Pelodiscus sinensis: one gene and its partners. The protein of the gene in region 4 interacts with the protein of the main gene of each other region in a pairwise test. Links are inferred from orthologs where the notes say so. Each region holds a gene or a part of one and is shown on either strand. Other genes may lie near its edges. The genes, in order: LARP6, WAS, SYNJ2 and ITSN2.

The links.
Region 1: the proteins of ITSN2 (region 4) and LARP6 interact in a two-hybrid assay, tested with the Homo sapiens proteins (2 studies listed by BioGRID, with this or other methods). The link is inferred for Pelodiscus sinensis from reciprocal best matches to the Homo sapiens genes ITSN2 and LARP6.
Region 2: the proteins of ITSN2 (region 4) and WAS interact in a two-hybrid assay, tested with the Homo sapiens proteins (2 studies listed by BioGRID). The link is inferred for Pelodiscus sinensis from reciprocal best matches to the Homo sapiens genes ITSN2 and WAS.
Region 3: the proteins of ITSN2 (region 4) and SYNJ2 interact in a two-hybrid assay, tested with the Homo sapiens proteins (2 studies listed by BioGRID and IntAct). The link is inferred for Pelodiscus sinensis from reciprocal best matches to the Homo sapiens genes ITSN2 and SYNJ2.

What each region holds. Positions count from the first base shown.
Region 1 is NC_134724.1:45,143,461-45,150,560, reverse strand, and holds the start of LARP6 (la-related protein 6), read left to right. Parts: upstream 1-4,084; 5' UTR 4,085-4,158; coding exon 4,159-4,277; intron 4,278-7,100. UniProt on the Homo sapiens protein: Regulates the coordinated translation of type I collagen alpha-1 and alpha-2 mRNAs, CO1A1 and CO1A2. Stabilizes mRNAs through high-affinity binding of a stem-loop structure in their 5' UTR.
Region 2 is NW_027466045.1:201,208-208,270, forward strand, and holds the start of WAS (actin nucleation-promoting factor WAS), read left to right. Parts: upstream 1-4,054; 5' UTR 4,055-4,526; coding exon 4,527-4,637; intron 4,638-5,179; coding exon 5,180-5,320; intron 5,321-5,509; coding exon 5,510-5,596; intron 5,597-6,079; coding exon 6,080-6,176; intron 6,177-6,320; coding exon 6,321-6,362; intron 6,363-6,475; coding exon 6,476-6,526; intron 6,527-6,642; coding exon 6,643-6,814; intron 6,815-7,063. UniProt on the Homo sapiens protein: Effector protein for Rho-type GTPases that regulates actin filament reorganization via its interaction with the Arp2/3 complex. Important for efficient actin polymerization. Possible regulator of lymphocyte and platelet function.
Region 3 is NC_134713.1:112,226,163-112,233,623, forward strand, and holds the start of SYNJ2 (synaptojanin-2), read left to right. Parts: upstream 1-4,455; 5' UTR 4,456-5,955; coding exon 5,956-6,076; intron 6,077-7,461. UniProt on the Homo sapiens protein: Inositol 5-phosphatase which may be involved in distinct membrane trafficking and signal transduction pathways. May mediate the inhibitory effect of Rac1 on endocytosis.
Region 4 is NC_134713.1:14,268,403-14,276,011, reverse strand, and holds the start of ITSN2 (intersectin-2), read right to left. Parts: upstream 3,021-7,609; 5' UTR 2,722-3,020; exon of another isoform or gene 2,662-2,721; intron 240-2,661; exon of another isoform or gene 219-239; intron 1-218.

The DNA of each region.
Region 1 (7,100 bases), on a different chromosome or scaffold from region 4:
AGGGGAAAGGGCAGGAAGAGCAGGGTGGGGAGGAATGGGAAGGTATCAGTGGGGGTGAGAAAGGGGAGGAGACAGGGTAATGCTGGGAGAGGAGAGGGGAGAAGTGGGTGCCAGAAGAGGGGTTGAAAGGAGGGATAGGCATGGGGAAGGCGGGGGTTGGAGCAAGTCATGTGTGAGGGCGCAGAGGGTGGTGAGAGAGTAGGCACCAGAAAGGAAGTGGGCAAGGGGGGCAGGTGTTGGGAGGGCAGGGGCAGTGAGGGAAGGGGGAGGCACCATGAAGGTGCAAGGGGTAAGGGAAGCTGCAGGTGCCAGAAGGATTGTGGGGGTGAAGCAAAAGGGCAGGCATAGGGAAGGGAGTAGAGGGGAGGGACGGACACCAGAAGACAGAGAGGAAAGGCAGGGAAGGTGGGTAGACAGAAGTATTACAAGAAGAAATGAGGAGGGGTGGGTACAAGTGGGAAGGGCAGGTGCAGGGGTCAGAGAGGATGGGGAGATAGGGCAAGTTCCAGGGGGGGCTGAGGGGAATGAGAAGGGCAGGAACCAGGAGAGCAGAGGAGGGTGAGGCATGGGGGGGCGGCAGCAGGCATCCGAGGAGCCCATGGGACAAGGGGAAAATGGGAGACATGGCAGCAAAGGGGAAATGGGAGAGGTTTATAAGTTGGGTGCCACGGTGGTATACCTCTGAACAAGCGCACATGACCTCAATATTGATGCACAAGACAAAACTCACTCTGTTCATGGACGGAAAATCTTAGAAGGAAGACTGCCCACCAGTAAATTCTTTAGCAGACTGGGCGGCAGCCCGGCTCAGTTCTGGCTCACATCGGGTCCAGAACCTATCCCCGCTGTGGCCCTGCATTTAAAGTATATTAGGATCCAGGTGGGCAGGCATCCCAACTCAGTTCCAGCTTGCACCAGGTTTGGGAGCTCAGCTCCCACCCTCTTCCACCCCCCCAGATGGGGGCTGCTGCCACCCCAAGTTCCTGCCTCTGTATCAGAGGCAGCAGCACAGAGTGGCATGGGGCTCCTTGGGAGGGGGATGAGAGCTGCCACCCCCACCCCCAGGGACTATAGAATAACCAAGTAACTGATAAGAATTCATGAGGTAATCGACTATTCAATTAACCAATATTAACATCCCTATACTGAGCCATGATTACTTTCATTTCTGGCCAAAGAATAGGAGTCCTCGGGTAATTTTACTTCTGTCCTCTGTATATCAGACTGGTCAACTATATAACTGGATAGTTTCCACTCGTATCAGGTCTGATCCTGTCCCCCTGAAAGGCTGGCAGACTCACACTGACTTTGGTGGTACATAAATCAAACCCACAGTACTTATACCCATGTCTTTCCTGGAACCAGTTTTTATGACTAATCCTACTCCCAGTCAAGTCAATGTCAAAACTCCACTGATCTCAGTAGGGCAAAGTTGAACTCTTCGGGTACGTCTAGACTACATGGCTCTGTCAATGGAGCCATGTTGATTAGGCAGGACGGCAAAGGGAAATGAAGTTGCGATTTAAATAATCGCCTCTTCATTTAAATCAAAATGGCCACCACACCGTGTTGATCAGCTGATTGTTGGCACAGCGCGGCAGTCTAGATGGGAATCTGCCAACCCCAGAACCCTTCGTCAGCAGATCCTTTATGCCTTGTGAAACGAGACTTACAGGATCTGCCGACGAAGGGTTCTGGGGTCGGCAGATCTCCGTTTAGACTGCCACGCTGTGCCGACAATCAGCTGATCGGCACAGCACAGCGGCCATTTTGATTTAAATGAAGAGGAGATTATTTAAATCGCAGCTTCATTTCCCTTTGCCATCCTGCCTAATCTACATGGCTCTGTCGACGGAGCCATGTAGTCTAGACACACCCTTTGTCTTACCTGGGCCAACATGATACAATACTTGAAGACACATTTGTTAGTTGCACAGTTACATAAGGAAGTGTTGTTTTTTTTTAATGAAACAAAAATAAGAGCACCTAACATTTTCTCCACACAAAGCATGTTAAAAATAAGCCAAAAACCATCATGGCAGATGGTGATTTTTATTACATTAAATGCTAACAGATCTACCACCAGAATACTCTTTGCAGAGTAACAAATCTCAGAGGCTAACACAGTCAGCCCTCTATATGTAAAAACGAGGAATCCTGTGGCACCTTAAAAACTTACTGATTTATTTGGGCATAAGTTTTCATGGATCAATACCATTTCAGTTATGAATGAGCCTGTAACGTGCCACAAAACTCCTTGTTTTTATTCTTTGTAGAGTGATAAAAATGATAAATGGCATCTAATGGCAATGAACATGTTTGCAAATTCAGAATTTTAAATAGTGGACAAATGCACTGAAATGAAGTATGACTTTCACTGTATAAATGAGGGAACCAAGAAAGATACTAAGAAAGAGAGGAACTGTACCAGACACAACAGAGATTCAAAATCCTAGCTTCCACCACATGGTTCATGTGAGAACAGTAATGAGAGAGAGATCGATCTTGAGGATCTTCCCCAATTAAGGAATAAATGTTCTTGTGGTAAAATTCTACATTCTAGGTTCCAATCCTGGCTGCAAGCACATCCATGATTTACTTTAAACTTGGAAACAGACCACTCAAGTCAATGGAGCAACTCCTGCGATCCAAATTAAGCATGTGCATAAGTGTACTTTGTTAGCTGCTCAGAGCTCAGGCCATGTTGATGTAAAGCTCTGTAAAGCACTATTCCCATCTATTATCCTATAAAACAAAACATATGCAGTCATTTCTGTTTATTCACATTTGTTATCTTTCTGAAACCTTTACAACCTCAGAAGGCATAGAATAAACCATTTTTATTTTCCAGAAGATGAGACATAAGATAGAATTCAAACTCAATTTAAAACAACAGTCATGAGTTCCTTTAGGCTGTTCATAGTTACCACATACTTCTTTGTATGACTTTCACGTTATACTTTGGAAGCTGTGCAGTTATTTATGAAGTTATTAGTTGCAAAATCACATTAGGTCTCAAAGCTGCGGACCAAGATAAATAGCATATTGTAATATATTTAGCAAATCAAGGAATAGACAGAAGACAATCATAAATCCAACTGGAATATGTTGAACCCTTATAGCTGCACTTTCTTGATAACCCCATCATTTTCTAATGAAATTACATTTTTTAAAACATGTAATTCCTACCTCTTATGGTTGTCAAGCCAATCTATTTTGATCTAATGAAACACTTTCTTCAAATAGCAGGAAATAATTCATGTGATACAAGTGTGAAGGGATGCCAGTCATCTCATGGAAATGTTACCTCTGAAACCTACCAATAACATAATACAACAGTAATTATTTGACTGATAATAATTTTGGCAGGAACATGCAGTGATTGAGTTTGAGTAGCGTGTCAGCCCTCTGTCTATCCTCCTCTGTCCCAAACTGAGGTTGAGTTATCACACATTCCCTGGCCTGCAAGCCCCTGAACGTTGGCACAGAGCAGCCAGATGGAAAATGTGAAAATCAAGACAATGAGGGGGATTATAGTTGTTATGTAAGACACAACACCTAATGTCGGCAGGGGGCTGATGACGTCCAGAGGTTTGGTCACCTCGCTATCTTGGATGAAGGGATTTCTCGGGCCCCTCCTGCATACATGGGGTTACATAGAGGCTGCGAGGAGGAGAAGTCTGGCAAACAGTGACTCTGCTTGAAGTGAGGGCAAGGCCCCTTTCCTGCCTCGACAAAGGAGCGAGCCCGTCTCATGGAGACTCACCCAGCAGAATCCTTGGGAAGCGATCTGTGCCGCCAGCGCCACCGCTCCGAGAGGGGCCAACACGGGGGAGACGCTGTCCCTAGGCCGGTGGAGCCCGGGCCCCACGTCCAGAGCCTCCCCACTCTTGCGTGGGCGCGTGAGGGGGCCTCTGCCCCACTCGCAGACCCCTCCCCCGTGCCCGGGCTGGGAAGTCTGTGCCTGCCCGGCCTTCCCCCTTCGCCCCGCCGGCGCCCCTGCGTGGAAACGCCGCGGGCTGCCCGGGGAGGGCGGGCCCGGCCGCCCAGGAGAGGAGGGGTCTGGAGCGGGGCGCAGCCGGGCTCGGAGGCGCCGCGGCAGGAGAAGGCGGCGGCTGCAGGCGGCCCGGGGGCAGCGCTGCTCGGCGGGCTCTGCCCATGGCCGAGGTGCCCGAGGCGCGGCCCGGCGGCCCGGCGCGGATCCGCGTGGCCCTGCAGGCGGAGCAGGGCGGCGGGGCGCCGGGCGGGGGCAGCTGTAGCGAGGATGCCAAGTCCAGGTACCGCGGCCCGGCAAGCGGGGCTGCTCCCCGGGGGGCGGGGCGCGAGCGGGGGTTCGCCCAGCCACGGGCCGGCGGGGCCCGCCTGATGCAACCAGGGCTCGGACACAGCGGCCGGGCCAGCGGGGACTTGGTGCAATTCGGCCGGGACGTTGCACCAGCGGCCCCGCCCCGCGACGCGCGCAGGCGGGAGGCTCCCGGGCCCCGGCCCGCTGGCGGGGAGCAGGGCGGGTGGCTGGCGCTGGAAAGCCGCGGGCGGGGGCCCGTCAGGGAAGCCCGGGTCCCGCAGTGAAACGAGGCGCCGCTAACGGCGCGGGTGGGTCTGCGGGCAGATGCGCGTCTCCCAGCCTCGTGGGTGACAGCCGGGCTGCAGGGACCCGCGGAGACAGCGCCCAGTGCCCTGCAGAGACACAAGCCCCAATAAAGCAGCCGAGTGTTGGGTCCGACCTGTCCTCCGCTTCCTGGAGAGCTTAACAACCTCCTGAGCCCTGGACACTCAGCCGGCTCGTCTGTGACTAAGGCAGGATGGTGCGAGGAAATCGTGAAGAAGTCTGGAAAACGCCGACCCGAGTTATCCTTTGCCAATGTATTGCAGTGCGGAAATAGAGAAGGCAAATATGTTTCCTGGCTGGGGGGAAAAGAGGATGAAATATCCCTGGCCATGACTCACCTAGAGAACCTTTCACAAAAATTATTGGTTAGGTGTTTCCTTCTGAGCTGGGGACTTTTCTAATCTGATTGAGGAGGTGATGTTTACATGGCAAGAGTTGGGGTAGGAGGAGAAAGGAGGATTAGAACCAATTCAGTCCTTAATGCTGCCTCAAGGCACTAGTGTGTTGCTGTGATTGGAAGCTATTTCCATCATTGCTCATTAGCACAATTGGTTTATCAGTCTCCTTCTGAAGTGTGACGCACTAGTCAGCTCACCAAGGAGTTACCCTAGAAATAAATGAATCAAAGGCCTCATGACAGCTCAGTCCAACGGCTTTATTTCAGATTAAAACTGTAGTAATGAGCTGGGGCATTCCTGCCAGGTGGGGTGCCGGATGCTCTTAGCAAAACTCTCTGCTCTGGAAATTAGAGGGACTTAGGTCTACTACTAGTTTCTTGTCCTGACACTACAGTCTGTTCTGTAATTATGCAGCATTATGTAGATGAATTACTTGTAGGCACAATATTCTTCCTGTCATGTGTACATCCCAGTGGCTGTAATGATCTTTTGAGGATTGCTGATAATGTTATTGTGACAACCTGCTTTTACGAAGTACAGTTTGTGCAAATTTTATTACACATGGAAGCAAAGTCTGTTGGATTAACTGAGACATACAAACACATTTAAACATGAGTGAATTGGGGCTGTATGGTGCCTAACAATGAGTTAATAACACCTGAACATGTTTTCTAAGGCTTGGTCAAAACACATTCTTTTGTATTAGTACAACTGTTTCAGTTAAGGATGCGAGTGGTGGTTTGTTTTTTTAAACAGATCTAGTTACACTAGTATATCTCTGGTGTGGAATCAGTTATACTGATATAAAAGTGCTTTATGCCACTATAGAATATTCTTTCCTTACAGGAATAGACATAACATTATAATTGTGTGCACATAATGGGCTGGACTGATCTGAGCAAGCCTATACAACCTGTATAAAGACAATAAGACTACGCATTTTTTCAAGATAGACAATACCATTTTGGTTGTGGGGCAAAGTCTCTGTGCTGTGTAAAGAAAAAGGTGTGTACAGGCAGTCCCCGGGTTACGTACAAGATAGGGACTGTAGGTTTGTTCTTAAGTTGAATCTGTATGTAAGTTGGAACTGGCATCCAGATTCAGCTGCTTACACTAATTTCGGTCAAACAAAGTTGCAGCACTAGAAAGTAAGACACAAAGGTTTCCTGGAAGGACACCAGTGGTCTTTCTAGCAATGTAAATCCAGGTAATCCATCTCTGTGAGCAGTATTATCTAGGCCAACTAACATATTCTTCCTCTGACCTAACTGCATCCACACAGGGCTTAGGTCATCTTAACCACAGTACACAGGAGGATGAATTTTTCCGAGCCCCTGACAATGAAGATTGTAATACTCAAATCTATTTTGGTGGCTGGGTAATTGAAAAAGGTTACCAATGTTTTTCTAATGAGAAAGTTTCCCTTCCCGTACACAGAAACAGCTTAACTGTTTTTGCTCAAATTTAAAAATGTTGGGGCACAGACTAAGACTGGAAATCTTCAGCCTGATAGGTGAATGTTTTGTGATGTTATGATATTCTAAAATAGTGCTTTAGAGAGGAAATTGTTTTGCAATTTGAGAGGCAGTAATTACTGTGGCTCACTGAGGAGTCCACTCCTGAATCCATTTAAATTGATACCAAATGCCTGTTGTCTACAGCGACTACAGCAGTGGCACTGTAGCTTAGAGCAATTCATTTTGCTTGGCTCATATAAGGCAGGATCACTTTCAAATGAATTAAGACAGAGATTTGTCAAGGTTAGAAATGTATCCAAACAGCTTAATATTGATAACCCTACGAGCTTGATCTCCAAAGGACACATTTTACCCACAGTGCACAGATGCATTTGGTTTCCTGCATGAGTCATCTCCAGATGAGTCAACCTAAATAAGTTGTTTTTCAGTCTGCCCATGCAGCTTTGACAATCAAATCCTTGGTAAAAGATCTCCAAGGAAAGAGAAACACTAAATGCAAGTTGTAAACATTATACATCTATTACAGGGGTCCCCAATGTGGTGCCCACGGGCGCCATGGCACCCACTGGGGCATTTATGTGCACCTGCACCAGTGTTTTAAAACAGTCATCTCCA
Region 2 (7,063 bases), on a different chromosome or scaffold from region 4:
GCCAGTGCCTTAAATCCCCCCCCGGGGGGGGCAGCCCCTCAGAGCCTCCTGGCTACACGACACCCCTCTCCTGTCCCCACCCCGAATTTAACCCCAACCCCAGTGTCTGTGTCCGGGCCATGGTGGATTTGCTCCCCCTCCCAACTGGACCAGGGTCCTTCTCTGGTTGCGGCCCACGGAGCTGGGAGCCGCATCCCATCCAGGCTGGGACACAGCCGCTTTATGGGGTGGCCGGGGGGACCCCCAAAGAAACAGCACCCCTCTTGCCCTGGGATCATAGAATCATAGAATAATAGGACTGGAAGGGACCTCGAGAGGTCATCGAGTCCAGCCCCCCGCCCTCAAGGCAGGACCAAGCTCCGTCTACACCATCCCTGACAGATGTCTATCTAACCTGTTCTTAAATATCTCCAGAGAGGGAGATTCCACCACCTCCCTTGGCAATTTATTCCAATATTTGACCACCCTGACAGTTAGGAATTTTTTCCTAATGTCCAATCTAAACCTCCCCTGCTGCACTTTAAGCCCATTACTCCTTGTCCTGTCCTCAGAAACCAAGAGGAACAAATTTTCTCCTTCCTCCTTGTGACACCCTTTTAGATATTTGAAAACCGCTCTCATGTCCCCCCTTAATCTTCTTTTTTCCAAACTAAACAAGCCCAGTTCATGAAGCCTGGCTTCATAGGTCATGTTCTCTAGGCCTTTAATCATTCTTGTTGCTCTTCTCTGTACCCTTTCCAATTTCTCCACATCTTTCTTGAAATGTGGCGCCCAGAACTGGACACAGTACTCCAGCTGAGGCCTAACTAGTGCAGAGTAGAGCGGCAGAATGACTTCACGAGTTTTGCTTACAACACACCTGTTGATACAACCTAGAATCATATTTGCTTTTTTTGCAACAGCATCACACTGTTGACTCATATTCAACTTGTGGTCCACTATGACCCCTAGATCCCTTTCCGCCATGCTCCTTCCTAGACAGTCGCTTCCCATCTTGTATGTATGGAACTGATTGTTCCTTCCTAAGTGGAGCACTTTGCATTTCTCTTTATTAAACCTCATTCTGTTTACCTCTGACCATTTCTCTAACTTGCTAAGGTCATTTTGAATTATGTCCCTATCCTCCAAAGAAGTCGCAACCCCACCCAGTTTGGTATCATCTGCAAACTTAATAAGCGTACTCTCTATCCCAATATCTACATCATTGATGAAGATATTGAACAGTACGGGTCCCAAAACAGACCCTTGAGGAACTCCACTTGTTATCCCTTTCCAGCAGGATTTAGAACCGTTAACAACAACTCTCTGACTACGGTTATCCAGCCAATTATGCACCCACCTTATCGTGGCCCTATCTAAGTTATATTTGCCTAGTTTATCAATAAGAATATCATGCGAGACCGTATCAAATGCCTTACTAAAGTCTAGGTATATGACATCCACCGCTTCTCCCTTATCCACAAGGCTCGTTATCTTATCAAAGAAAGCTATCAGATTAGTTTGGCATGACTTGTTCTTCACAAACCCATGCTGGCTATTCCCTATCACTTTATTACCTTCCAAGTGTTTGCATATGATTTCCTTAATTACCTGCTCCATTATCTTCCCTGGGACAGACGTTAAACTGACCGGTCTGTAGTTTCCTGGGTTGTTCTTATTCCTCTTTTTATAGATGGGTACAATATTTGCCCTTTTCCAGTCTTCTGGAATCTCCCCTGTCTGCCATGATTTTTCAAAGATCATAGCTAAAGGCTCAGATACCTCCTCTATCAGCTCCTTGAGTATCCTGGGATGCATTTCATCAGGACCTGGTGACTTGCTGACATCTAACTTTCCTAAGTGATTTTTAACTTGTTCTTTGTGTATCCTATCTTCTAAACTTACCCTCTCTCTGCTTGTATTCACTACGTTAGGCACACCTCCAGACTTCTCGGTGAAGACCGAAACAAAGAAGTCATTGAGCATCTCCGCCATTTCCAAGTTCCCTGTTACTGCTTCTCCCTCCTCACTAAGCAGTGGGCCTACCCTGGTCTTCCTCTTGCTTTTAATGTATTTATAAAAGGTCTTCTTGTTTCCCTTTATGCCTGTAGCTAGTTTGATCTCATTTTGTGCCTTTGCCTTTCTAATCTTGCCCCTGCATTCCCGTGTTGCTTTCCTATATTCATCCTTTGTTAGTTGTCCTAGTTTCCATTTTTTCTAGGACTCCTTTTTTATTTTGAGATCGTGCAAGATCTCCTTGTTAAGCCAAGCTGGTCTTTTGCCATATTTTCTATCTTTCCTACACAGCGGAATTGTTTGCTTTTGGGCCCTTAACAACGTCCCTTTGAAATACTTCCAACTCTCCTCAGTTGTTTTTCCCTTCAGTCTTGCTTCCCATGGGACCTTACCTACAAGTTCTCTGAGCTTATCAAAATCTGCCTTCCTGAAATCCATTTCCTCAATTGTGCTGGTCTCCCTTCTACCTTTCCTTAAGATCATGAACTCTATTATTTCGTGATCATGGTTGCGTCCGGGTACACGCAGCACGAGGTGCACTTCTTTTGGCAGGAAGGGGCTCTGTATAGCATCAGGACCCCGGGGTCTCGCGCCGGCTCTGGGAGGGGAGTGGGGTCTAGTGGTTAGGGCTGGGAGCCAGGAAGCCCCAGTGACGAAGTTCCATCGCTCCCCTATTCTCCTCCTCCTTGTGCTGTGGGCGTATCTTGCTTGGCCTCCCCCAAAGGAGCGACATCGGCCCGACTTTGGGGCCTTCATTTTGGAAGGAAGCGTTTGAGCAAGAAATACGCTTCTTTTCCCCGGCTTTTTGTCCTTCCCCTAATCCCTCCCCCCGCCCCAAATCCAAACCCCTCAAACCAGAAAATTCTCCTTTCAAACAAATCCCCAGCCCATGTTTTGATTTCTCCAGAAAAAGTGGGGGCTTCCCTCCCCGACATATTACAGCCCTTCGATTCCAGGTCTGGCCCAGAGACGAAGAAAACCATCATGTTTTATGAGCTGGGTGGGGGAACACCCCCCTCACCCCAGATTTCAGCAGCACAATCCAACTCCGAGCGACAAAGATACCTTTTATGGGGTCGCCATTGGCGGGGGGGGAGAGACGTTTCGAGTTTCCCCGGGGCTCATGTCCTTCCTCCGGGACTCGATCTGATCAAAGATACGACCCCCTTCTCCCCCATCTTGGCTCTGTGTTTGTTGGACGTTGCTGCCCCTCCCCGCAAAATGCCCGTTCCCTGACGAGAAAGCAACCAAAAAAACCCATTCACAAAGCGGGATTTTTGCCCAGATCTGAGGCCTGAAAACACCTTTTTAAAATGTTGGGGCCACTTTCCCAAGGGTCAGGTTTCCTTTTGGGGGCCTGGCGTTGCCTGTGGCTCGTATTGCATGTTGCAGGGGAGGAGGGGCTGCAGGTGGAAAGGTCCCGAGTTGGTATCTTGGGCTTGGTGAATTCAGAACCTTCTTAGCAGAACTCCGTGTGGGTACAAAACTGGCACCTGCAAAAGTCCCGCGGCTCTCCACAGCCACCGGTGTGCTCGCTCCAAAATTCGTGTCTGCCTCCATGCGCCATGGATTTCTGCCGGCACAGCCACTGCTACTGGCAGGTTCGCAGGGCTCTACTCCTTAGACTGGGTGCCCGGCTGGGCTGATCGCTCTGGGGCCATCTCTCCCCCGACGAAAATCTCCGTCTCCCCGGCACCTTGGCCTGCCGATCCTGCCTGGGTTCACGCAATTCCAGAGGCTCCAGATTTCGGGAGGGGAGTGATAAAAGAGCCCCTGGCAGTGGCCAGCTCTTTCTATTGGACACTCAGCCTGCTCCTGCTCCCCCCCAGCACAAAGCGCCGTGGGGGGCGGGATGGGGGGAAAGAAACGCAATGTGAACGTGACGCAGGGCGCCGGTGGCTTCTGTACGGTAGTTCTGGGTTTCAATAAACAGCAACCGGACTTTCCCCTTCCTGAGTGTTTTGTGGGGGGCGGGGGGAGAGACATTCTGGGAGGGGGCAGGTGGGGGGGAAGTGGGGGGTTATGGAGGGAGGAGGGTGGGCAGATGGAAAAGGGATTGGGGGGATTGTAGGGCAGATACAAAGGTGGGGGGAAGCCCTAACTACGTTACCCCCCATAGAGAGGCACCTGGAACCAAGCCCCTCCTCACACCTGGCCTGGCTTGGGGGGATCCCCGCCACCTACAAGACGCGTTGGGCTCAGAAATTCCCCCCCGCCCCAGCCGCCCCCAAAACGGCTGCAGAGGACCCTGCCCCCAGCAGAAACAACACTGCCTGAGTCTGCCAGGAGCCTGCGCTCCTTGCTCGGCGGGGCCCCCGCCATCTCCCCCCCGCTCGGCGGGGGCCCCTTGCTCCCACCCCCCTACCCTGTTCCCCCAGCCCCGGCAGGGACTGTTCGCAGAGCCCAACTTCCCCTGGCCGGTGGTTTCTGTTGCGCTTCCTGTTGGATGTGACGCGGAAGTTGGCCGGGTCGCGAGCGGGGAGGGGAGAGACCCCAAGAGCCTGCTGTTGGGGCGGGTGCCAGGAGCCAGCATGAGCCGAGGGGCCCGGGCCGGGGCCCGAGCGCAAGAGAACGTCCCCTCCTGTCTCCTCCTGGACCATGAAAACCAGCAGGTGTTTGAGCTCCTGGGCCGGAAATGCACGGTGAGGGCCCATGGAGTGAGGGGCACCGGCAGGGCTGGGGGGCGGGAGTGAGGGGCACCGGCAGGGCTAGGGGGCGGGAGTGAGGGGCACCGGCAGGGCTAGGGGGGCAGGGGTTGGGGGGTGGGAGTGAGGGGCTCTGGCAGGGCTGGGCGGTGTAAGTCTGGAGTAAGGGGAACCCCAGATCTTGGGTAGGGGAAGCCCAGGGCTGTCAGAGGCTGCTCATTGGGAGCAAGGGGCACCGGCAGGGCTGGGGGGGCTGGAGTGAGGGGCACCGGTAGGGCTGGGGGGCTGGGCTGGGCTGGCAGAGGAGTGATGGGCCTTGCTTCCTGGCCCCCTTTCGGCCATGCAAATGGCGCTTGTGGGGCTGGTGAGAGGCCCATTGGGGTCCCGCCGGACGCCTGAGGCCAACACCGGAGACGGGGACAGGAACTGTCAGCCTGGGGAGCCGTAGTCAGGCAGGGTGCAGCTGTTCCCAGCCACCCCACCCCAGAGCTGGCTGCATCAGCCGCCATCTCTCTGTAACTCGGATGTCTCTGGCCCAGACCCTGGCCACGTCCGTGGCCCAGCTGTACCTGGCCCTGCCCCCCAACAGCCAGGCCTGGGGCAAGCAGGGCTGCGGGGTCCTCTGCCTGGTCAAAGACAACCCCCGGCGCTCCTACTTCATCCGCCTCTTCAGTCTCAAGGTGAGTCCCAGCCCTGAGAACCCGGGAGTCCTGGTTCCTCTGCGCTAACCACTAGCCCCCGTTCCCCTCCCAGAGCTGGGCAGAGAACCCGGGTGTCTGGGCTTCCCTGCGCCAAGCACTGGCCCCGCTCCCCTGCCGGAGGCGGGGCGAGACCCCCAGGGCGTGTGCCAGGGTTCCCTTCTCTTGCAGGAGGGCAGGCTGACGTGGGAGCAGGAGCTAAGCAGCCTGGAGGCCTATTCAGCTGTGTCTGCCTATTTCCACACCTTCCCCGGGGACGTGAGTATCTGCCCCAGGAGGGCGGGGCGCGAGGGCGGGGCTTCCAAACCGAGCCCCGCCCCCGGGACACAATTTCAGAGACGGGATAAAAGGAGAAAACTGAGGGTAACAAATAATAGGTAGGGCTAGGGACCTCTCCTGGCTCTGGGGGGGAGTGGGGCCTAGGGGTTAGAGCAGGGGGGAGGGAAGCCAGGATGCCAGTGTTCTCCCCTGGCTCTGGGAGGGAAGTGGGGCCTAGTGGTTAGCGCGGGGGGGGCGGGAGCCAGACGCCTGGGTTCTCCCCTGGCTCTGGGAGGGAAGTGGGGCCTAGCAGTTAGAGCAGGGGGAAAGGGGCTGGACGCCTGGGTTCTCCCCTGGCTCTGGGAGGGGAGTGGGGCCTAGTGGTTAGCGCAGGGGGGGCGGGAGCCAGACGCCTGGGTTCTCCCCTGGCTCTGGGAGGGGCGTGGAGCCCCCCCGGACTGGCGAGGTGCCGATTGCTCCCAGGAATGCCAGGCTGGGCTGAACTTTGCGGACGAGGCCGAGGCTCGCGCCTTCCACATGGTGGTGGAGGAGAAGCTCCAGAAGCGCCAGCACAGGATGGGTGAGTGGCAGGGCAGGCGCTGGCCCCCCTGGAGGGGCAGGGCCCCGGGCCCCTTCCCTGGCCCCCCTGGAGGGGCAGGGCCCCGGGCCCCTTCCCTGGCCCCCCTGGGCCAGTATCCTAACGCGCTTTCTGCTCTTTCCTCAGAGAAGCGGCAGCTGCCCCCACCCCCCCCTCCAGTCCCTGAAGGTGAGTCCCCCGTGATCCCGCCGCCCTGCGCAATGGGGCGGGGCTGAGCCCCCCAAGCTCTCCCGTGGGGGAGGGGCTGGCAGGTCTAACACGGCTCTTTCTGCCTCCTCCAGAGCGCAGGACGACGCTGCCCCGATCCCCGATTGCCGGGGGGGACATGAACGGTAAGCGCTCGGAGGAGGGGGTCTGCAAAGGGCTACCCGAGCCCCCCGCCCGCTCCCTGTCCTCCAGGGGAGAGCCCCGGCCCTGCTCCCCACAGCCCCCCCTTTCTTTCCCACAGGTCCCAGCAAACAGCCGAGTTCCCCCTCCTTGAACCTCATTACCATGGACATCCAGAACCCGGACATCACCTCGTCCCGGTACCGGGGGCTGCCGGTGCCCCCCGCTGCCGAGAAGAAGAAAGGGAAGAAGAAGATCTCCAAGGCTGACATCGGCGCCCCAAGCGGCTTCAAGTGAGAGCAGGGGGACGGGGCACTGGGCTGGCCTGAGGGGGCGCCGGCTCCCGCCCGGCCCAGGACAAGGGCTGGCTGGCTTGTGGGGCGGGGAATGGGACAGGGGCCTGTCCCCTCCTGGGGGTGCCAGCTCCCACCCAGCCCAGGACAAGGGCTGGCTGGCTTGGGGGGCGGGGAATGAGACAGGGGCCTGTCCCCTCCGGGGGGTGCCGGCTCCCACCCGGCCCAGGACAAGGGCTGGCTGGCTTG
Region 3 (7,461 bases), about 98 Mb from region 4:
CTGTCCCGGCAGCATGACACCTGCAACACCAGTCCCTGCTGCTTGGAAAGCAGTACATAAAGGGCAGCAAATAAAATTTACCCAGGGTACCATTTTCCCAAGGCCAACCCTACTGAGTAGGAAGGAGGGGAGCTATCAATAAGGGAAGGTCAAAGAAAAGAAGAACACTAAGAATGGAGGATGAACTGAGGCATTGAGGAGCAGGGATGGTGTGGTATTTATGAGAATTAACACTATGGAATGAGGGAAGGAAAGCATTTCCAGTTGTTGTAAAGCAGGCTTTTTCTGTCCACGGCCTTTGCGTATAGCCCATCCTGCCACACAAGGCCCCTCACACAAAACCCAGATACTCAGAGGAGCATGGGCAGCACAATGCAGTTTTTGTGAATGGAATTTGACCTTATAGGCATCCTGGAACTCAAAGGCACCAAGAAAATAGGGAGGAAAGCATAACTAGATAACGCCTAGCTGAATTTACAGATAAGCCTCATTTGACCGTAGCTTGACCAGTCTTAGGGGCAAGGGGAAAAAGTAAACATAGGGTAATAAAACACAATTGTCTTACACTAACTATGCCCCATCTGGTCCTGTCCACGAGGGGTTCACTCATACATCACGAAAATTCCTATAGGGCAGTATTGTCATACTACCTCATCACTAGCCTATCAGGCCCTGCCAAATGCAGACCCTAGCATGGCACCAGACACCGAATTTTTGTATAAAAGACCCTCAATCCCTTTGTTCGACGGAGGTTCCATGTATTGAGGGCACGTGTCTTTTTTTTGCCCGGCTAAAGGATTGATCACCCTGAGGCTGCCTCCCCACCCTTCAAGTCAAATATAGGGGGGCACGAGTCCTGAGCATGCTCCGAGTTCTAGGGTGTCTTTCTGTTGTTATTGATTCTGGATTTGTAAGTACTGCTTAAATGTATTAGTTATTGGTTTAATTAATAGTTAGATTGTGTTAATTTCACTGTGTAATTCTGTAAAGCGTATCTAAGTTCTGTTAACCACACTGTGTAAATTGTATAATTTTGTGTTGTGTAGTAGTGTTGTATTTAGGTTAAGTATAAGTGTTAGAAATAGAAGCCCCGGAGTTGTTAAGTTGTAAAAGTAGATTTATGACTAACTCCACCAGCTGCCCTAAAATAACCATAGAGGGGCTGGCTTTGGATGGTTCTTTTATTATCATTACTTTGGCTTTGTTTTTTGTATGCTGCGTTGTCTTAGGCAAATTAAGGATAGTGATTTGATATGAGTGAATTGTAATCAAAGAATTGTAATCAGTTGGGTATAATTGTGCCCAAGCTTTTCTACGCAGTAAAAGTATTGAGCAATCGCTAGTTTAAACACCTATTTGGTAATTATTGGTTTTGACCACTTAATAAAAATCATTTGTTTCACCATCATCCAGTAGTTTTCACTGGGTAGTCAGCTTTAACCCTTGAGGCTCCCGTCACATCACCGAACCAAGGTGCAACACCAGTATGGGGAACATTTTCCTTGAATATGGGACTCTGTCATGTATTCAACACCCATATGTGAACTGGGCCACAGTCAAAGACCAGTGGTGTCTGAATGTCAACTAGAAGGTAAACTTCATACCATAGAACTACCATTTACAAGTGAAATGGATTTACATGCACTACAGAAAGAAGGTGAGTACTATTCAGATATCCTGATTTTGTAGCCTATAAAATAAAAAAGCCTTTGCAAACAGTTCCAATATACCCAGACACTGGATCCCTAATTTTAACACATTCTCCAGCTTTCTTCAGTACTTTTCTCTATTAAGCAGCTTATGTTAGTTGCTTTCTTGACATTTTAAGAGTTCAGCGTAGTCACCTTTGAACAAAAAGCCTATTTGAAAAAGTAATATCCGTCAATTAAAAAAATGCCGACCCACTCACGAATATCAAGTGAGAGAATGAGTTAATGGAGAACTGCTCAGAATGTGAGCTCCCTTAAAGAAGCTCATGCCTTGCCAAAGCATGAAATAAAACTCCCATAAAATAGATTTACAGTCAGCGCTCAACTATATTGCACTGCTAAATGTTCCATCTTCACCTGCCTTTGCTTTTATATCTTGTTCTCTGAACCTGATTTGTTGTGCTTAAAAAAGAGTTTATTGTTCATACCCCAGTCCTATGTCTAGGCAAATATTTTCTTTAACAAGTCAGACGCTGAGCTCTATTAATTATCCTGACTGGTGTGCTCATGTCATAATGTTTTCTACTGCAAGTTACAGGTACAAATGAATTACAAGCACAAATACTGTTGAATCTTTGACATGTCATTGTCCTCCAATTGACGGTAATGCTCCTGCTGATGTACAGAAAGAGTTTATCATGAGAACAGTCTGCTGTAGCAATCATTCCTTGAAGGCAACAGATGCACTTATGTATAAATGAATGAGACCGCACCAAATTAACAAAAGAGAATATTACCTATAAGTCAACCTTCCATCTGATCCCACTACTAAGATTGCCACCATTTAATAACTAGGTCCTTTTTCTTCTAGGGGAAAAAATCATGGGAAAAGATGCTGAAGATGGAAATAGGTTGTTGGCCTGCCTGTCTCTGTACAAGAAACCTATAGCAAGAAAAATGTTCTTGTTCTGTTTAGGATATGAAATAACTTAAAAAAAAACCAGTCTTACAGCACCTTAGAGAGTAACAAAAAATGTAGATGGTATCATGAGCTTTTGTGGGCACAACCATAAGTTTCTTATATCCAGTGAAAACAAACTTTGAACTGCACTTGTATATCCTCTCATCCTAGTCACTAACATATGCCCTTTCCCCCCCACAGACACACATTTAATTTTAGTTATTTCCTCTAGGTTAGCTTTCACACTCATTCACTTAAGGCTACGTCTACACAGCACGGCTATTTTGGGATACCCTGCATCTCCACAAGCTGCCTTTTATTTTGAAATAACGGGCGCACTATTTCACCATCCTGGTAAACCTCGTTGCACAAAGGATAAGGAATGGCTCGAAGTAGCACGTTATTTCAAAAACTGGCACTGTGTAGATCTGCCACATGTAAAATAGTCTATTTCAAAATAGATTCAAAATAAGAAATACAATTTGTATAGCACAAATTGCATATCTTATTTCACATTTAGGGTGCTGTGTAGATGCACTCTTAGTGTGAAAGCTAACCTAGTACTACATAGTGTCCCAAAAATCCTAATCCAGACAATGCCAAATTTAACACAAATGTACTGTTCCCACCAGATCCCATTATTTTCTCTCTCAGAAGTGATCCCGTAAACATAAAAGTCTTTTTTTTTCTTTTAGCTATTGTTACTAAGGTCTAGTCTACACTAAAGATCTATAGTGGTATAACTACATCACTCAGGTTCAGCCATGTGTACACTACAGACCTTGCACTGGCATAGTTGTACTAATGCAGCTGCACCACCATAAGAACAGTCATGTAGTCATTCTATGCCAACAAGAGAAAACTCTCCCATCTGTCTAATAAAACTATCTCAACAAGTGGTGGTAGATTTGTCTCTGGGACAGCTCTCCTTCCAACAACGCAGCATTGTGCACACTACCACTTTTGCCAGTGACATTTCGGTCACTCAAAGGTGTGGATTTCCTCTCGCACCCCTAAGCAACTTAAGTTTTGCTGGCGTAAGCGGTAATGTAGACATGACCTTAGAGTACTATACCAGATTTCGTTTGCTTTGAACTGCAACAGACTATGTTTATACTGTGAGTCCATTCAGGGACTTGCACAGTGGAGCCTTCACTAATACACTCCAGCATTTTTAATAAAATGCAAACAATAGGCAGCATTTTGTATTTCACTGTTTCCTAGAATACCTAAACAGTGGTTCATCCACAATAATGGTTTCCACAGCCACAATTGTTCTGTGATCAGCTAAACTGAGTTTAAGTAACATACTAGGTTGTGCCACACAGCCATCAAAGCTGTGTGTTGCCTATTTGCATATACATGCACAACTATCTTAATATGTTTGTATTATTGTAGTCTGGGAAAATATGGCAGCATTCTTAATGACTCAGCAAGGAAATGTGGGAGGAACCCTGTACTACTAGAAAGATAAGTGGGTTCCTGGACAAAGCTAGGCAAATAATAGATTTTTTTCATATTTGGCAGTTTTAAAAAAGTCATTTTGGATAAGACAATCAATTTTGGAGAAACTGAAAAGTAAAAAAAAAAAATCAGGGTTGAATAAAGCTATAAGTTTCAACAATTTTAAGACAAAATTTAATAAAAACCAAAAACTTTTCAAACAATTGTTTTCAAACAAAAATATCATTATTTGATTTTTTTAATGTGTCTTCTAAGAACAATTTGGCATTTGCAAATGTGTTGTTTTTGACAAACAGATCATTGTCAGAATCCGTATTTTTCTCCAAAAAAAAGTTTAACCTGATTTTTTTTTTGCCAAGATCTGTTCTGGGAGTTGTTAGAGGAAACCAGAGAATTATAAAATAATATACCTGCATACAACATCTTTCAGCCCAAAGCATTTTACAAACAGAGGGTCAGGTGTGGTATTTCCTTTCAGAGTGCAAAGAATTCCAGTATCTATGTATGTAAATGTGTCATCCTACTACTCAACTCTTTAGCCACCTCTGGGGAGGTGTGAGGGAGTAGTTTAATAAGGCTACACGACTGTTTAGAACAGAAAATGAGAAGCAATATAACAAAACTGCATGGGAAAATAAACTGCAATCTTGTAGCCCTGCTGGGCCCAAAATATTAGACACACAAGGTGGGTAGACCAACTAAAATAAAAAATATTTTCCATCATCTACCTTGACTCTTTTGAGAAACTCGTGCAGGCAGGAGCTTGACTTCCACCAGAGCAGGGAGTATTATCTCACGTTCTCAGTGCCAAAGATGTGTTTAATTTATACAGAGTTAGCTAGGATAGATGTTCTCAGTTTATACCAACACGAGTTCCCTATTTGATAGCTTGGCACAGTTTCATGTTAGCATTTTAGTCACTATTTAGCTTGTCTTTTGTAAATTGCTTTGTGCCCTCTTTGCTCTTAGTTCATGTTTGTATAACTCTTTTTGAGCGCCCCATTTGAAAGACGCTAGACAAGAGTGTAGCATTAGTTGCTGTCCTCTAGGGGCGCATCCATCATGCGGTGCAGCGTGGAGAAAAGTTTCGCTTCTTGGGATCCAGATCTGATCTGTGTCAAAGTTGAGTGTCTGGAATGGGGCTTGGGACCTGAGTGGCCTCGTTAGCTCAGATCCGCCTAGAACTACCACTTCATTTCTCCAAGTCAGGCGGGGCGGGGCGCGTCTGCGGCCCCAGCTCCTGTGTTGGCCGTGGACGGCTCCCCTCACCCTGTTTTGTTAGCCTGGGAGTAGCACGGCCTCTGCCGCCTCCTCCCGGGGGCTGTGACATTCCAGCTCCTCCCTCCCGCAGAGCGGGCAGGGGTGGAGACAGGCGGACAATGGCTTTTACCTGTCCCGGAGCGGGAGGAGGAGCCGCCGCCGCCGGAGCAGGAAGGAACAAAGTCAACTCCTGCAAGTTTACACGGGACCGGCGCCGCGAGTAGCCAAGGACTTTCCAGCGGAGCGGAGCCTCCGGCAGCCCAGCCAAGTCACCCTTTGCCTGGGGAAGACTGCGAGGAGCCGGGGCAGCCCGAGGTCTCCGCCCGGAGGCGGTGCTGCGCCTTTTGGTCGCCCGCCGAGTTGCTGGCCACTTTTCCTGGGCTGGAAGCTCGCTACCCGTCTGGGGCGCTCCCCGGCCGGCTCCCGGGCTTGGGCCGTCGTGTGGGGGCGGCGCTGGCTGCAGGGCTCCGTCTCTCTCCTGGAGCGCCGCGGGCAGGAAGGGGGGAGGCTGCGACGCTTTCTCTGCTCCCCCCGCGCTTGGTGCCTGGGTTTGTGGCGGGGAGCGGGAGCGCCCCCCTCCCGGCACCTCCTGCGCCTGCCTCCCTATGGCCAAGCGGCCCCATGGCTCTGAGCAAAGGGCTGCGGCTGCTCTGGAAGCAGGAGCCGGCTCCGAGCGCCCTGCTGGAAGCGCGGGCCCGCCACGACTGCCTGCTGCTGGAGGCCGGCACCGTGGCCACCCTCAGTAAGTGCCTCTGGCGGGCAGGGCGCGCACCTGGGAGCGCGGGGTGGGCGTGTCAGGCTGGGGGTGTCCACGCGGGGACGGACCCCTGGCTAAGGGCTGCGCGTCGAGGGCCAGATTTTCAAAGCGCTCAGTTAGGCGCGCAAATACGGCGCAGGCTTTCTGCAGCGCTCAGCACGTCCCGCGCGGAACCCATTCACAACAGCCCTGCCCAGGTTCTCCTTACACGTGTGGAGGTGTGGGCTGCTCTGCAGAAGGCTAAGCTTAGCTCGAACAGTTACACCTGTCAGTAGTTTCCACCCCAGGGTGGGACAACAGGGCCGGGACAACACTAGACTTTTTTTTTCTTTTGCTACTGTAGGTACAATTTATTAGTAGTGCCAACGGTGAGGACACTAGTGTAGAGAAGGGCCCAAAGATTAAAAGATAGGTAAGCCCTTTACTCTGATCAGCATGGAGTTTGTAGTCGATCACTATCCACTCGCCTCTTCTGAAGAAGTAGCAGCTTTCACTCACGAAGAATAACTGGGGGAAATGATTAGTATTTAAAACAAATCTCTCAAAGATTGTGGTTGGAGAAACAAAGAGGGAGCCATAATCTACAACACAGATTGAGGACCATACAATTTGTGAAAAGGAGGAACATTACTAAAAGTCCAGAGTTACAAGCATAAGCTTGTGCTTAATTTTATTACTATCCATGAATCCGTGAAGCCATGTCAATCTGACTGCCTGGGTACTAAAATTAAGCAACTGCATAAACATTTGCAGGTTTGGTGCCAAAGGGTATGGCACAAAGTTTGTATAGAATTTGTAAACGCTTTGGGGGCAGGAATTGCCATTTATTATGTTTGTCCTGTGCCTACCACAGTGGGGCCCAGCCTGGTTGTGGCCTTTAGATGCTACTGTAATACAAATTTTTAATAATTATACATTTTATGTACATATGTACTTACTTACTTACTGCCCGTTACGCCAATGGCGCATAGGGCAGCAACGAAGTCCTTCCACTTCTGTCGGTCGCAGGCCAAAGCGCCTATTGTTCCCCAAGTATGATGATGGTCTTTTAATTCTTGTTCTACCGTTCGGTGCCAGGTTGTTTTTGGCCTTCCTCTCTTTCTCTTCCCATCTGGTTTCCAGTGGAGTGCAATTTTCGTAATAGATCCGTCTTCTCTTCGTAACACATGACCTATCCATCGCCAGCGTCTTTTCATAATTATAGTGGCCATGTCTTCTTGTTTACACTGATACAGTAGATCTTCGTTGGAAATTTTGTTTGGCCAAAATATCCATATGTACACATGTATTTTAAAATTAATTTTTGCTTTGTAATTGCAAATACAACTAGACTTTTTCCTAGCTGCTCATTAGCATTTCATCTGATCTTA
Region 4 (7,609 bases):
AGTATTATTAAAAGTAAAATCTACTTTCAAATTTTGCTACCTGTGAGTGGTGTGACACTATCTGCAAATCATATATTTTAAATTTATTATTCACATTATATTAATGCTTAAAAAGCACAACCAGATTCCCTAGATGGTAGCAACATTTAATTTCCTGAGAAAAAATGACAATGTCATAAACAGACAGAAAAAAGGACATCATTTACTAAGGCACTAACCATGGAATTTAGTTTTCATCAGTTCTTAATTTCTTCTAATTATAGGTTTTCACAGGAGCCTAAGAAGTAAGCCAATAATTATAATAATCTTCATTATTCCATTCTCTGAGGTTCCCAGTACAATTCATCTATTCATCCATTACCAATGTTTTATCTTCTTACAGACTGTAAACTCTCAAGGCACAGATATTCTGTATTTTGATTCTTACTTAATTCTGAACCTATTAATCAGTGCTACCATCTTTATTTCTCAACAGATTATAACACATATACACAGATTATAAAATTTGCCATCCACACTTTACTACTGAAACAATGAAACCAACTCTTAGGAGAAGAAAATTAGTTCCCATAGAAACACATCAAAGTGTTCTAGCATCAGTAATTTACTCCTCCATCTTCCAAATCAGAGAGAACATGTGTGGGGGAAATTTGTAAACAATCCTCACTCATTTCTGATAGTGACAGAGATGTAGCCGTGTTAGTCTGGTGTAGCTGAAACAAAATACAGGACTATGTAGCACTTTAAAGACTAACAAGATGGTTTATTAGATGATGAGCTTTCGTGGGCCAGACCCACTTCCTCAGGAAGTGGGTCTGGCCCACGAAAGCTCATCATCTAATAAACCATCTTGTTAGTCTTTAAAGTGCTACATAGTCCTGTATTTTGTCTCACTCATTTCTGGCAGCCTTTAAAATGTAAGTGTAAAACCTATAGAAACTGAACACAGCACTTATCAGCTGTATTGAAAAGGAGCCTTGGGGTAAAATGCAAGATCTTCACAAGAGCTTTGATTGTTAAAAAAAATTACTTTTCATAAAAGAGATAAGTACTTCATTATTTTTAGAGAGGAAGAACTTCTAATGCAAAAGAAATGTCTGTTCAACCTAATAAAAACCACAAACCTGAAACATTTCCCCATCCACTGCCCATTCTGTTGTTAAGGTTCTATTTTCAGTTACTGTGGTTTGAAACTTTTTTGCAGTACCCAGCTGCTCACTGTGATGTGAGCTAAATAAAATGAACAAAATCAAAGATTGTCTCTCTCCTGCTATACTATGCAAGAGGTGCTTACACTGGAGAAGACTAAATCCCAACCCCATTCCCCAGAGAAAACTTCAAAGAAGAGGGGGAAAAATCTCTCAGGTAAGGTTTCCAAGTTGACAAATGAAACAGACTAGAGGTGGAACTGATGGGCTGCATCATGGTCTCATACGGTCACATTCTGCCCTTTAAATCACTCACAAGCAGCCACAAACATTACCTCACTAAACACTTCAAATCCCAGTCATGTGTTCCCCAGGCCATTCCCCTCAGGTTACTGCTCACAAAAGCCCCCAAACTGCTCCCTAGAGTTCCTCCCCAGGACTCTCTCAATCAAGGGCACACCCTTACCTGCTCCTTCCCTGAGAGCTCCCCCACCCCGCCATCAGAGGCACCCCCTATGTTTTCCCCTTAGACTCCCTCTCCCTCCCCAAGGACATATCTCATCTTTTCCCTGCTCCCTTCCTGCACTCCCCCCCAATCAAGGGCACCCCCTAGCAGCGCTCCCCCCAACCAACGCCCCCTCCGCCTGCTCCCTTCCTGGGTTCCTCCCAAGCAAGGGCGCCCCACCTGCTCCCTCCCTGGGTCCCCCCCCCCCAAACAAGGACATGTTACCTCTCCTACCTGTTCCCTCCCTGGGTCCCCCCCCCCAAACAAGGACATGTTACCTCTCCTACCTGCTCCCTCCCTGGGTCCCCCCCCCCCAAACAAGGACATGTTACCTCTCCTACCTGTTCCCTCCCTGGGTCCCCCCCCCCAAACAAGGACATGTTACCTCTCCTACCTGCTCCCTCCCTGGGTCCCCCCCCCCAAACAAGGACATGTTACCTCTCCTACCTGCTCCCTCCCTGGGTCCCCCCCCCAAACAAGGACATGTTACCTCTCCTACCTGTTCCCTCCCTGGGTCCCCCCCCCCAAACAAGGACATGTTACCTCTCCTACCTGTTCCCTCCCTGGGTCCCCCCCCCAAACAAGGACATGTTACCTCTCCTACCTGCTCCCTCCCTGGGTTCCCCCCCCAAACAAGGACATGTTACCTCTCCTACCTGCTCCCTCCCTGGGTCCCCCCCCAAACAAGGACATGTTACCTCTCCTACCTGCTCCCTCCCTGGGTCCCCCCCCAAACAAGGACATGTTACCTCTCCTACCTGCTCCCACACTGGGCCGCCTAACCCAACCCACAGCAACCCCTATCGGCTCCCTCTTCGTGGCCCCCGAACGAACCCCCCCAAATCCTCTCTCCCTGCAAGCCCCCCCAAATCCTCTCTCCCCAGACCCCCAACACACTCACGACCCGGTGCCCCCGGACCTTGCTTCCTCGGCCCCCCAGCAAGAGCGCCCCATTCCCACCCTCCGCACAGACCCCGCCGTCCCCCCGCGGGGGCCGAGGCCGCTCACCCAGCCGGCTCTGCTCCCTCGGCCCCTTACGGCTCAGGCCGCAGCCGGGCAGCGCGGTACCTGTTGCTCTGCTCGGCGCTCGCTCGCTCGCTCCCTCTGCCTCCTGCGGCGGCTTCAGCCCGACAACATGGCGGCGGAGGCGGGGGCCTGGCCCGCAGGAAGAAGGCGAGCTGCGGCAGGAGGGGGAGGGAGCAGGAGCTGCCCGCGGACACGGGCCAGCAGCGGGGCTCCTGGGTGTGCGACCGGGGCCCTAGGGATGAGCCCAGAGGGGGCCCAGGGACTAAGTGAGAGCAGCCCCTCTGGGCTCGGGGCCAGCCCTGATTCAGGCCGACAGCAGCTGGGTGTGGGACCAAGGCATAGAAGGGCCTAACAGCACCCCAGGGTGTATGTCCCAGGCTCAAGATATGGGCAGGTGTGGGACCAAGGCCTGAGATATGGGCTTACAGGGCCCTGGGTGCCAAGCCAAGGTACGTACCCCAGGAACTTGGTGCCAGTTGGCAGACGGCACAGGACGGGGGCGTAGAGTTTCACGAGGATCTCTCAGGTAGGAAATATGCATCATAATTAAGGCTAAGATTTTGTCACATCAGCCCTCAGGAATGGGTTGTACGGCCCAGGCTATAGCGCAGCCTCCCAAAAAAAGCTGTAGGTTGTGGTGCGTTGCAACCATAGAGGGTGCTCTACCTCTGCTCTGGAGCTGGGCACAGCTGCAGGACAAGGATGCATGGGCACAGCTGCAGCCAAGGGTGGGGTACAGCCATGGGACGCACGAGGGGGACATGCGGCCCACAATGCAGTCCCCAACAAAAGACATGGGTTGGGTCACAGCAGGGGTAGAGGGAGCACAGCCACAGGGGTTGCACAGCTCCCACTCCAGAGCTGGCAGCAGCTGCGGGAGAGGAGAGCCCAGTTTGGCTGCAGTCCCCAGCAAACTACAGGGCAGGGGCTCCAGGATCCTGGTTCCAGCCATCCATCTAATTGCAACAGGGTAGGGGCATACAGTCCCCACCTCTAGGCCTGACTTCATTTGCTGACAGCTGGAGCAGAAGTCAGGGAGGTCCAGTAAAGTCACAGAATCTTTGAATACTGTGACTAAATTGTAGCCTTAATAATTCACCAAATGGTGACATGGGAGATCCCTACCAACAGTCACTGTTGCATGTAAAGGTAATATTTCAGGAATTATATATCTAAACTGAAAAATATGTTCTTAAAGGAGTTAAGTAAGACATGTCACTAGGGATATACCTGGGACATATTTCTTTCAGACAGCCAAGTAGCAGAGGGCTGTCGTCTCTGGTCACGTGTGTATTGTGCACTGTATATCTTGCAAAGGATGTCTGTTTGCACAGCAAGCCAGATACCTGATGTAAGATTGCAAAATCTACAAGAGAGAATATCTATAAGGAAATAAATCCACAGGGGTGTGCCCTGTTCATGACTAAAACCAAAACATCAGGATGGTATATTAGGTAATACGGGGAGATACATAATATCTTCCACCAAAGAGGCAAGCCAATAGCATGACTTGTCTCCTAAAGGAAAAATCACAGTCAAGCCTGGCTTTATAATGCTAGGAGGAATTCGGATGAATATTGTTGTAAAACAGCTTAAAGCGTCTAGATAAATAAGTTTATGTTCTGGAATGTGTATTATGATTTTATTTTATATGAAGCCATCTACTTCCAATATGTCTCCTTTCTCTCATTAAAATCTCTATGCTTTGTTAAATAAACTTTTTTTTTAAACTATCAACTTATATAATCACAGTGTGCTACATGAAACTGTGATCTAAGGTATATCTGATACACTGATAAACTGTACCGCTCCTGTGGGAGTAGTGAATACTGTGAGTATCCAGTTGAGTAGGGTCTGAATACTCCGTAAAGATGGGGAGGAGGGCGGGGCGGAGAGGAGGAAAGGGAGTTAGAGTGTATCTGTTGTTAACTTGTAAAGAGACAATGGGATGTACCTAGACCAGTGAAGTTGGGGAGCGACTCCAGGAGGCATAAACATGCTAAGGGGAGGCAGTAACTGGGTACTCCCCATAAAGTATCATAGGTTATACAGGCTCACGGTGCCTCTGGGTGGGGTGCCACAGCATAGTGACTAACAAGGCCCTAAGGTGCAGAGCCAAGGCATAAAGGCAAAAAATGCCCCTGAATATAGAACCAATGCCTGAGACTCAGGTTATGTTTACACTGCAGGATTTTTGTGGAAGAGGAAATGCAAATTGAGCACTTATTTGCCTATATCACGCTCTCATTTGCATATCTTCCAGTCCTTTTTGGGGAAAAGGTTTTTGTGATAAAAAGCCCTGTGTAGACGGGGCCATTTGTTGGAAAAAAAAACAACCTTTAGTTCAAGAGTCTGTATACCTCATTTTTTGAGGAATAAGGGCTCAGGAGCACAGTAAGCAGCTGGAAGATGACTAGGGAGGATGCAGCACTTGTTCCGTAGGATACATCTTAGATAGAGGAAGTAGTGGTAGGCAGGCTTAGGGGAGCAGGAGAAAAGCTCCAGACTGATATCTGCCAGGCTGCAGGCCTTGATACAGGGGCCAGGAAGGTGCAAGGGTCATAGGGGAAGTAGCCCAGGGAACAGAAGGCAGTAGAGTGGGAGAGAGGAGAGCAGGACAAGACTGCTGCCAGAGGGTCCCTGATCTGGGACCTAGAGTAGTGGGTGGGCCTGGGGTCCTTACACTGCACCTAGTCACACCGAGAAGTGACCTTTATGGACTGTGGCTTGCCCCTGAGCTGAGGGACTAAAGTGAGACTGTAGTTGGCCATGATGGCAGATGTGAGACTAAGGACTGCTGATAATACCTAGGGGAAAAAGGGGTTGAGAAACCAGTGTGGTGGGCAGTGTCCTATGGTCCTGGGAGTGAAGTGGGTCCAAAGCAGAGCGCAGGGAGAGCATGGAGAGAGACACTGGCCAGAATGGAGTGCCCTGCTGAGGACAGAACTAATTCCCAGTGTGATCTGCAGGAGGTGCCATGGTAGTGAGTCTTGACCTGTTGTTACAGTTATGTTTATAGTAACTAGAGAATTTTGCCTATCCATCCCCCCATGAATCTAACATAGTAGCCTTCTAGGGTTGCCAGTTTGGGTTGGATGTATTCCTGGAGATCTCTCACACATCATAAATCTTAATATGTAAATAAAGATTAATTCCTGAAGACTACAGCCCAATCCTGGTGGGTCTTACTTATTCCTGTACTGCACTACTTTAGGTACACCCCTCACAACATTTTAGACTAATGGCTCTCAACCTTCCCAGACTTTCAGGAGTCTGTTTTGTTTTGCATACTTCAAGTTTCACCTCCCTTACTTGCTTACAAAATTAGGCATAAAAATGCAAAAGTGTTAGTACACTGTTAATGACTTTCCATATAATTAATAAAATAAATTAATAAAATAAACCAACTGGAATATAAATATTATGTGTACATTTCAGTACATAGTATATAGAGAGCTGTATAAACACGTCATTATAGGTATGAAATTTTAGTTTCTACTGACTTTGCTAGTGCTTTTTGTAGCCTGTTGTAAAACTAGGCAAATATCCAGCTGTTAAAGAGATATCTAGAGATATTTGCCTAGTTTTACAACAGTCAGTAGTACATGTACCCTTGGAGGCATGCAGAGCTGATGTACTACTGATTGAGAATGACTGTTCGCAGCTACATGCTGACAATTAAGTATAAATCTGATGTATAAAGGTGTGCAAAATAGTTTGAACAAAACCATAATATATTTTAGGGCTACATTTTTATTTCAATTGCACTGAAAGTTGGTGGCTACATATTTCATGACTGAACTTTAAAGAAGTGTGATTACTGTTACTGAGAAGATCTTATGAAATTCCTCATCAGAATTGTTGTCTTCATAATACTCTCTGAAATAACTCATTATTGAATCAATCCAGGGTGAAATAAGAACCACCTTTGGGGAGAGGAGATGGCCCAGTCCCATAAGAACGGCCGTACTGGGTCAGACCAAAGGTCCTTCTAGCCCAGTATCCTGTCTGCTGACAGTGGCCAGCACCAGGTGCCCCAGAGAGGGTGGACCAAAGACAATGATCAAGCAATTTGTCTCCTGCCATCTCTCTCCAGCCTCTGACAAACAGATGCCAAGGAAACCATTTTATCCCCTGGCTAATAGCCTTTTATGGACCTAACCTCCATGAAATTATCTAGCTTCTCTTTAAACTCTACTATAGTCCTAGCCTTCACAGCCTCCTCTGGCAAGGAGTTCTACAGGTTAACTACACGCTGTGTGAAGAACTTCCTTTTTATTAGTTTTAAACCTGCTACCCATTAATTTCATTTGATGTCCTCTAGTTCTTCTATTTAGGGAACTAATAAATAACTTTTCTTTATCGGCCCTCTCCACACCTCTCATGATTTTATAGACCTCTATCATATCCCCCCTCAGTCTCCTCTTTTCTAAACTGAAAAGTCTCAGTCGTTTTAACCTCTCCTCATATGTGACCCATTTGAAACCCCTAATCATTTTAGTGGCCCTTTTCTGAACCCTTTCCAAGGCCAAAATATTTTTGGCTATCTGAACAGCAGTTACCAGAATTCCATGTGTTTCACACAATATATTTTTTCTATGTTCCCTGACAGCCATTGTTTGACAATGGAGCTGTCTTACAAAAGCTAGTGGTATGATGGGATGAAAGGAGAGGAATCCCAGGAATTTATTAGTTCCCCCCTGGATTCAGAGCCTGAGTAGGAACCTTATAGCATAGGGCAGTGGTCCCCAACGCGGTGCCTGCGGGCGCCATGGCACCAGCCGGGGCATTAATGTGCGCCCACCTAGTGACCATGGCTGGCCCGAGCCATTCTTGTGCCCTTACTGTCTGGTGTATATGCGGCCCCCACCCCGAGCGCACGCTGCATGTGCAGTGCTGGGCGCGCGGTGCCAGGCGCGCAGCGCATGCA